2 linked regions of the Arabidopsis thaliana genome follow. The protein of the gene in region 1 interacts with the protein of each later gene in a pairwise test. Each region holds a gene or a part of one and is shown on either strand. Other genes may lie near its edges. The genes, in order: AT1G75990 and DSS1(V).

The links.
Region 2: the proteins of AT1G75990 (region 1) and DSS1(V) interact in a two-hybrid assay, tested with the Arabidopsis thaliana proteins (one study listed by BioGRID).

Annotation. Positions count from the first base shown.
Region 1 is NC_003070.9:28,523,705-28,528,876, reverse strand, and holds AT1G75990 (PAM domain (PCI/PINT associated module) protein), read left to right. Parts: upstream 1-2,028; 5' UTR 2,029-2,158; coding exon 2,159-2,237; intron 2,238-2,332; coding exon 2,333-2,523; intron 2,524-2,635; coding exon 2,636-2,773; intron 2,774-2,860; coding exon 2,861-2,997; intron 2,998-3,087; coding exon 3,088-3,253; intron 3,254-3,420; coding exon 3,421-3,660; intron 3,661-3,741; coding exon 3,742-4,254; 3' UTR 4,255-4,473; downstream 4,474-5,172. Other genes in the region: AT1G76010 (Alba DNA/RNA-binding protein), read left to right, coding at 1-169, 263-372; AT1G75980 (Single hybrid motif superfamily protein), read left to right, coding at 4,575-4,815, 4,903-4,951, 5,032-5,158. UniProt on the Arabidopsis thaliana protein: Acts as a regulatory subunit of the 26 proteasome which is involved in the ATP-dependent degradation of ubiquitinated proteins.
Region 2 is NC_003076.8:18,166,300-18,170,209, forward strand, and holds DSS1(V) (DSS1 homolog on chromosome V), read right to left. Parts: upstream 2,085-3,910; 5' UTR 1,923-2,084; coding exon 1,832-1,922; intron 1,283-1,831; coding exon 1,152-1,282; 3' UTR 707-1,151; downstream 1-706. Other genes in the region: AT5G45000 (Disease resistance protein (TIR-NBS-LRR class) family), read left to right, coding at 1-447, 538-706; AT5G45020 (Glutathione S-transferase family protein), read left to right, coding at 2,907-3,119, 3,200-3,376, 3,456-3,680, 3,747-3,875. UniProt on the Arabidopsis thaliana protein: Subunit of the 26S proteasome which plays a role in ubiquitin-dependent proteolysis. Also associates with the TREX-2 complex that is required for transcription-coupled mRNA export.

The sequences.
Region 1 (5,172 bases):
TACGATGGTCCTCAGGGTCGCCGTGGTTATGATGGTCCTCCTCAGGGCCGTGGTGGTTATGATGGTCCTTCTCAAGGCCGTGGTGGTTATGATGGTCCTTCTCAGGGCCGTGGTGGTTATGATGGTCCTTCTCAGGGCCGTGGTGGTTATGATGGTCCTCAGGGTCGTGGTAAAATAAATTAAAACATTCTGTATTCTTTTACCTGGTTCTTGAACTGTAATTGTGTGAAGAAGCCATGAGTTTTGAATTGGTTTGATGCAGGGCGTGGACGTGGACGTGGAAGGGGAGGACGTGGAAGAGGAGGAGGACGTGGTGGTGATGGTGGTTTCAACAACAGATCAGATGGACCACCAGTCCAGGCAGCTGCTTGAGAGTGAGGTTTCTCTTACACAAACATAAAAAGAAGAAAAAAGCCCAAGTCGTTGGATGTTTTTTTTCTATCTCCTTGTTCTCTCACTTTCTTTCTATGTTTGCTTCTTCTGTCCATCAAGAAGACATGTTTGCCATAAGTGTATCTCATTCCCCTTCTTTTTTTTTTACTATCCATTGATTGACAGTGTTTTAGCTTGTGGTCTGTTTTGTTTAGAGTCGCTTAGGAATATATGTTCAATTTATTTTATGGTTGGTCGTCGTCTTGGGTTTTTGTTAGAGAAGAACTACTGAGGCATCCTCTTTTCTTTTCTTTTTTCCTCTGTTTTGTAGTTTTGTTTAGGTGAGAGTGAGACACAGTTTGGACAAATTACCTCTTTTCTTTGGTTATCAGTTTTAATGTGATGGAACAGTTGATTCTTTTATTTCCAACAAGTACCCTTGCAAAGTTGAATTCTTATATAACATTATAACGAAAATAACTCACAAATGGAAGCAGATTTACACAGAGAGAGAAAAAAAATGGAAGTAGAAAGCCAGAAACCATCGATTCTCGAATTTGGGTTGATCTTCAAAATTCTAATGAGACAGACACAACAAAGGAAAGGAAGCTCATAGACTCGTCGACACCGTATTAACAATAGATTTACTCGATAAAAAAATGTTAGCGCCGTTGCCGGGGATCGAACCCGGGTCACCCGCGTGACAGGCGGGAATACTTACCACTATACTACAACGACTTTGATGTTCTAATTAATGACATTAATAGTATTAACAAACAAGATAATATCTGCCTTCAAGGGAAAGAAAAAAATAAAATGGAAAAATATAATTGGGAAAAATGTTGTTTTATATACGAACTTTCAAAAAGTGGCCATTTTATACGTGAACTCTGACGTCGGCCAAAATAAATATGAAAAATACGTTGACCAGCCATTTTAACAGAAACAAAACGTTGACCTGGCCAAAATCCCGAGACGTTAACTCGCATTAACAGACCCAATTAACCCCGTTAACAGCACGTTAATAAACTCTGTTAAAGCCGAAACGGTGTCGTTTTGTTCTAAACGAAACAAAACAAAATCCCCAAATCGAAAACTCAAACCCTAAGTCTTCATCTTCCCCAAATCGATTTCTTATATCCAACTTCTCTCAATCTATCTTCTTTGAGCTTCAACTCCGACAGAAGACTCTGCTACAACAACAGCCGGCAAAGCTAGAACTCCACCATCAAACTCCATCTCCGGTTTCAGCTACTCGTCGTGGTGGAACAGGAGCAATGTCGACTTCGCCTTCTATTGCTAAGGCAATCACAACAAGATTAATCGAAGAACAAACACGATTTTACCAATGAGAGAATTAGGGATTTGGTTTGAGAGAATTAGGGATTGAGTTTTCGATTTGGGCATTTTGATTTGTTTCGTTAGGTTTGAAACGACGGCGTTTTGGTCTTAACAGAATTCATTAACGTTCTCTTAACGGGGTTAATCAGCGAGTTAACGTCTCGGGATTTTGGCGAGGTCAACATTTTGTTTCTGTTAAAATGGCTGGTCAACGTATTTTTCATGTTTATTTTGGCCGACGTCAGAGTTCACGTATAGAATAGCTACTTTTTGAAAGTTCGCGTATAAAACAACATTTTTCCCAAATATAATTTGGTAATTTCTGTCTAGGAAAAGAAAAAGGAAAACATAAGAGTACTTATGTGTGCGTTAAGCCCTGCTCTTTTCAAATCAATTTTTAATTTACCTTCGTCAAGAAGAAGACGACTTGAGATTTGCGAAAAAGATGACTCAGGACGTAGAGATGAAAGATAACCAAACCCCAACGCAATCCGTCGTCTCTGCTCCTACCTCCACGCTACAGAGTAAATCTCTATCTTATGCTTCAGTTTCTCTTAATCTCACATTGCTAGGTTTGTTTCAAAATTGAATTCGTTGTACTGCTTTTTTTTTTCTCCAGATTTGAAGGAGATTGCAGCTCTGATTGATACTGGATCTTATACAAAGGAAGTCCGTCGTATTGCTCGTGCTGTGCGTCTCACCGTTGGACTACGAAGGAAGCTCACGGGTTCCGTGATCTCTTCTTTCCTTGATTTCGCTTTGGTTCCTGGATCTGAAGCTCACACTCGTCTCTCTTCTTTTGTGCCGAAGGTATGTGTAGCTTCACTTGTCCACTTTGATTACGAGCTTATCTAGGATCTGTAATTAGATTCATGTATTAGTGTTTGCCCTTAATTTGATGGAATTTATAATATTGGTACAGAGTGATGAACATGACATGGAAGTTGATACAGCATCATCGAATTCCCAAGCTCCTCCTAAGCATCTACCTGCAGAGCTCGAGATTTACTGCTACTTCATTGTTCTTCTTTTTCTCATTGATCAGAAAAAGTACAACGAGGTTTACTTCTTCTCTATCTCTCTAACTGACATACTTTATTTATAAATCTTGCTGTGGTCTTCATTGTTTTACTTTCTTTGCTTTCAGGCCAAAGTTTGTTCTACCGCTAGCATTGCTCGCCTCAAAAGCGTAAACAGGAGAACCGTTGATGTCATTGCTTCCAAATTGTATTTTTACTACTCCTTAAGTTACGAGCTAACTAATGATCTTGCAGAGATACGTAGGTGAGTACAAGTTCACAGTCATCTTTCAACTTTTATCATATTAGTTCAACACTCAATTATCTTATTAACTTGTCTCTCTTTCTGTTGCAGTACTCTTCTTGCTCTTCACCATTCGGCCACACTGCGCCACGACGAATTGGGCCAGGAAACACTTTTGAATCTGTTGCTTCGCAATTATCTACACTACAACCTGTACGACCAAGCAGAGAAGTTGAGATCAAAAGCGCCTCGATTTGAGGCACACTCTAACCAACAGGTAACCCTTTCATACATTCTAGTTTCTAATTCTAAGTTAATTGTGATGCTTACTTATGCCAACCTCTCTGATGCTTACTAATGCCAACTTTTCACTGTGAATTTCTCCAAACTACATTCACATGTTTCAACTAGAAACGATACTCATCTCGTTATATAAATTTACAGTTTTGTAGGTACTTGTTTTACCTTGGCAAGATCAGGACGATTCAACTTGAGTACACCGATGCAAAAGAGAGTCTCCTCCAAGCTGCTAGGAAAGCACCTGTTGCATCTCTGGGATTCAGAATCCAGTGCAACAAGTGGGCTATCATAGTTCGGCTGTTGTTGGGTGAAATACCTGAACGATCTATCTTCACTCAGAAAGGAATGGAGAAGACTCTTAGGCCATATTTTGAGCTGACCAACGTGAGTTCAATCTTTTTTACATTTCTAACATATGCTTTAATTAAGGTTTTCTTGCTAATACTCTTGTTTAAATTTTGTAAGGCTGTGAGAATTGGTGACTTGGAGCTGTTCGGGAAAATCCAAGAGAAGTTTGCCAAAACATTTGCGGAAGACAGGACTCACAACCTCATAGTCAGACTCCGACACAACGTGATCAGAACAGGACTGCGCAACATCAGCATTTCCTACTCCAGAATCTCTCTACAGGATGTTGCTCAAAAGCTGAGACTGAACTCAGCGAACCCAGTGGCTGATGCAGAAAGCATCGTCGCTAAAGCCATTAGAGATGGAGCAATCGACGCAACCATCGACCACAAGAACGGTTGTATGGTCTCCAAGGAAACAGGAGACATCTACTCCACTAATGAACCACAGACTGCGTTTAACTCGAGGATTGCCTTCTGTTTGAATATGCACAATGAAGCGGTTAGAGCACTGAGGTTCCCGCCAAACACGCACAGGGAGAAAGAGAGCGAGGAGAAAAGAAGGGAGATGAAACAGCAAGAAGAGGAGCTCGCTAAATACATGGCTGAGGAAGACGATGATGATTTCTAGATTTGTTTCAAATTCTACTGTTTTTGTCTGTTAACACTTTTGTTATTTTGAATTATCTGACTTTTTCTTGTTATTATGCACATCAGTTCTTTTACTTTATGAAAAAACAAAATCTCAAACTTTATCACAAGTCCACATTGGGATCAAAATTCTGGTAAATAAATTCACTGAAGAAGTGAAGTTAGTAATATAGAAGAACATGAACATGATTCAAACCCAAGATCAGTAGATGGGCCTTTAGGCCCATTAGTTATGTAATTACAAATCGGCGAAGTAACTCCGATTGTTTTTTCGCCGTCAAAGGTTAAACAGTCGAAACAATGGAGATTCTGAAGCTTGATGTAGCGAAGTTTCCAGAAATTGAGGATACAATCGAATTAACTAACCCAAAGAGAAACGACGAAGTAGAAGATTGCGACGACCAACAGAAGCAGCAGCTAGCTACACAAGAAGATGAAGAGGAAGACGAATTGAGAAAGCTTCTGCTTTCAGATATTGGAGAACTTCCGATTTCTCCTCCTTCAGCTACACAAGTCAATTTTGTTTCTTACTTCATCACAGGTTCTCAGATTCACCTACTGTTTAGTGTTTTTCAAAACCCCTTTTGATAGTGTGAAGTGAATTAAACCCTTTTCAATGTTTTTGCAGATTTTACTAAATCGGGTCATGATCAATATATTTACCGTCACGCTAATGGGTATGTCAAAGATTGTTCCTTTTGCTGTTGAAATGATGAAATTGGTTTTCTTCTTACTTGTGTGTTTGTTTGTTTGATAGTTTGTGTGTAATTGGATTGGCTCCTACGCATATAGCTTTTAAGGATGAAGGTGGAATCACTAGTGTCGATTTCAATGTTGGTAAGTCTGATCGTAGCGTCTTGAAAGTCTCCGGCAAGCGTAAAAAGGTGGCTTTCTCTTG
Region 2 (3,910 bases), on another chromosome or scaffold:
ACAAGTGTTTGTCAATTTCTGCAATGACGAGCTTGGCGACAACTTTATTAAACATCTCGTGTGGGCTTTGAGAGACTCAGGGATCAATGTCTTCAAAGACAGCTTCAAGCTTATAGGAAGTGGACAAAAACAAGAAGTGTTCATGAGTATAGAGAACTCGAATATCGCGCTTGCCATCTTCTCAAAGAGGTATTCTGAGTCATATCGGTGTTTGAACGAGCTTGTGAAGATGGAAGAGCTTGCCAAGGAAGGAAAACTCGTGGTCATTCCAGTCTTCTACAGTGTGAAAACAAACGAAGTGAGAAGACTTGAGGGAGAGTTTGGAATACATTTTAGAAACACAAAAGAGAGATTTGCTATGGAACCAATGATGGTTGAAAGTTGGGAAAAATCCTTGAAGTCATCTACTGTTACAGGGAGGATTGGCTTGAGCTTGGAAGCACACATGTAATAGAATATTTAATAGAACTCTTGTTTTGTAGTAAGATCGACTTTGTGGTAAGGTCGTCTAATCAGTTTCTTTCACTCATTTTGCAGGAACGAATTTGCTCTTGTCGGTGCCATTGTTAAAGAGGTTACAAGATTACTACCAAACTCTCCAAAGAAGAAGAAGAAGAAGAAAATTAGGTATTGGAGAAGTTTTCTTGAGGGCTTTGACTGCTACATTTATCTTTGCTGTCTTCATATACCCTATGCCTATGCCTGATGTGAACTTTTTGAAAATTGGTAAGTTGTTATTAGGCTTTCCGTTTTTGGTTGTTGTCTTGCACAAGATTTTATGTTAATATTAGAAACAAAATGATGTTTTCTCGCTTCTGGCTTGTGGACGCTAACACTATATGTAATGTTGTGACGCACATCAGCTATGTCTATTTGAATGTTATCTCTACGGTTATTTTGTGATGTACATAGTAAACCAATCCATGTCCACACCGCACTGTGTTGAGAGAAGATGGTGATTATCAGAATAGAATTACTATCAGCTCAAATTTATCATCTTCAAAGACGAGAAATTTGCATCCAAGGAAGAGTATAATGTGTAAAGGAAAAGGAGAACCGATACATGCTACGATAAACCAAAGGATGCAATTCAAACAAAAAAGCCAAGGTTCCCTAAATGAGAAGACCTGCCTTTCTCGCAATCTTGGACCTCATTTCTTCTCACTAGCATTCTCAAGCTCCTTCTTTAACTGACGCGAGAAGTCGTCACTGACATCATCATCATCCCAGTCATCTTCCCACTGCAGGCTAACTTCCTTCACTTCCTCTTTCTCCAACCAATCTGCCAAACATAACAATAAAAATATCCATCTTTATCAATTCTTTCAATAAAGCTATTTGTTAAATCTCAAGACTGAACTAACATTGCAAAGCAAAATCTGTTAAAATCAGAAACTGATCCTAGCTTAAGTTGAATTGTACAACTCTCCCCCAAGCTACTCAATGCCCCCAAATAATTCCTAAATCCACCATAACCTTTAGGCCCTTTAGCTCATGAAGCCTTGCCGATTAATAATGCAAACATAATCACCAGTAGTTTGCTCATAAAACTGCACTATTATCCATCAAGTTTATGAGACCGTAGCTTCATCATCATAAACATATATCAAACAGATCCGTTTTCGCATCAGAACTACCCAACTTCATACAATAGAGACTATCTTAGTTTGTATAAGACAGTGCAGAATCAAAATTTGTATTTATACCAAAACCTAATCAATCACCAAATCAGTTGCTAATGAAATTTGCTCTTATCTCCATTAATTTTATAACCGATGATGAATCAATTTCGAAAATCAAAGAAGCAATTAGTATAAAACAAAAAAATCACCTTCGTTGATTTCAAATTCCTCGAACTCATCGTCGTCCTCGAATAGATCCACCTTCACCACTTCGACAGCTGCCTTGGGTTCTGCCGCCATAGTTACAGATGTTTAAGCAAATCAACCAGATCGAGAAAAAAACCTAAGAAGAAGATCACCAAACTCGATTAATTCCTCCAAGTTAAACCCAACCAGAGCTCTTTAAACGAACCTTTTTTTCGTTTTGGGTCTAACTTGAAGAAGGGGAAAATTACCAATTTCCAATAACCGACCCGAATCTTATATGATTCATACCGAATCCGACCCGAATCTTATATGATTCATACCGAATCCGACCCAATATTAAAAATATCCGATTGAGGTTTAAAAGAAGCTGTTTTAGACCGGTCCAATAGTCGCATTCGTCTTGACCAAATCCATGACATACAAACCGGTCCAAAAGTTGTCACGCTTTCCCCACAGAACCCAGCTGAGTCAACTCGTTAGTCTGAGTTAACTCGCTAGGCGTGACAGAGCAGTGAAGACAAAGCAAAGTCCTTTTTCGGATTCCTTCTCTTTCACTATAAGATGACATCCCTCATTACCATTTTTCCTTAAAGCTCACTTTTTCTTCTTTAACCTTATCGCCACAAAACAGCGACATTCGACGCCAAATACATAACATCGTCGTCAACAGGTTTTGTCTCTTATCTTCTTCTCTGCATGAATCATGTTCTTGTTAGACATTTTCTGAGTTCTGGGTTTGATTTTGGCCCAATGATCCATAAATGTTGAAAATCATATTTGAAGGCTATGAATTATGAACATTTTATTTTAACCTTTTTCTAGCTCTAATGAGATAATTAAGTAAAACCCTACTCGAAATTTCTGAACTTTTTGATGCTTTGATTCGTTTCCTGTGATCCTTTACCTAGAGAAAATTGAGATTGATTATGTGACAAGTGACCATCTATAAGAAATCTCTCAAAGTTTTCAACTTTACTCACTCTATTGAGGTGAAAAAGAAAAATTGTGCATTCTGAAATTTTTATTCTTTTCGTTTGTCATGTGAATTTTCGTGTTTGATTTTTTATTAGTAGCAAAATGGCTAGGTCTGGGGTTGATGAGACATCAGAATCTGGAGCTTTTGTAAGAACAGCATCAACATTCCGCAACTTTGTTTCACAAGATCCTGATTCTCAGTTTCCAGCTGAATCAGGAAGATACCATCTTTACATATCTTATGCTTGTCCATGGGCTTGTAGATGTCTTTCTTACTTAAAGATCAAAGGACTTGATGAAGCAATCACCTTCTCGGTTAGTACAAATTCATTGCTCATATCGAATTAGAAGACTTTGTTAACCTGAAGCATTTCTGTTTTATTTGATTTGATTAGTCGGTTCATGCCATTTGGGGAAGAACCAAGGAAACTGATGATCATAGAGGATGGGTTTTCCCGGATTCGGATACCGAGCTCCCTGGAGCTGAGCCTGACTATCTTAATGGTGCCAAAAGTGTGAGAGAACTCTACGAGATTGCTAGCCCAAACTATGAAGGGAAGTACACTGTTCCTGTAAGTTTTGATCTCTTTGGTGAACTCTTTAATCTTTCTTTGTCCTGTTTCTTGAATGTTTGTTTTGTTATTATGTTAGGTTCTTTGGGATAAGAAGCTTAAGACTGTTGTTAACAATGAGAGTTCAGAGATAATCCGGATGTTCAACACTGAGTTCAATGGTATTGCGAAAACCCCGTCACTTGACCTTTATCCTTCTCATCTCAGAGACGTAATCAACGAGACTAACGGATGGGTTTTCAACGGAATAAACAACGGTGTTTATAAATGTGGGTTTGCAAGGAAACAAGAACCCTATAATGAGGTATATATCCCTCAATGTCTTAAACATTTGAACAGGGATTCAAAAATTGATCCCTTTTCTCTCCAGGCAGTGAACCAGTTATATGAAGCAGTAGATAGATGTGAGGAAGTACTCGGAAAACAACGATACATCTGCGGAAACACTTTCACTGAAGCAGATATCCGATTATTCGTCACTCTCATAAGATTTGATGAGGTATATGAGTCAACTTGTCTTCTTTGTTTCCAAAT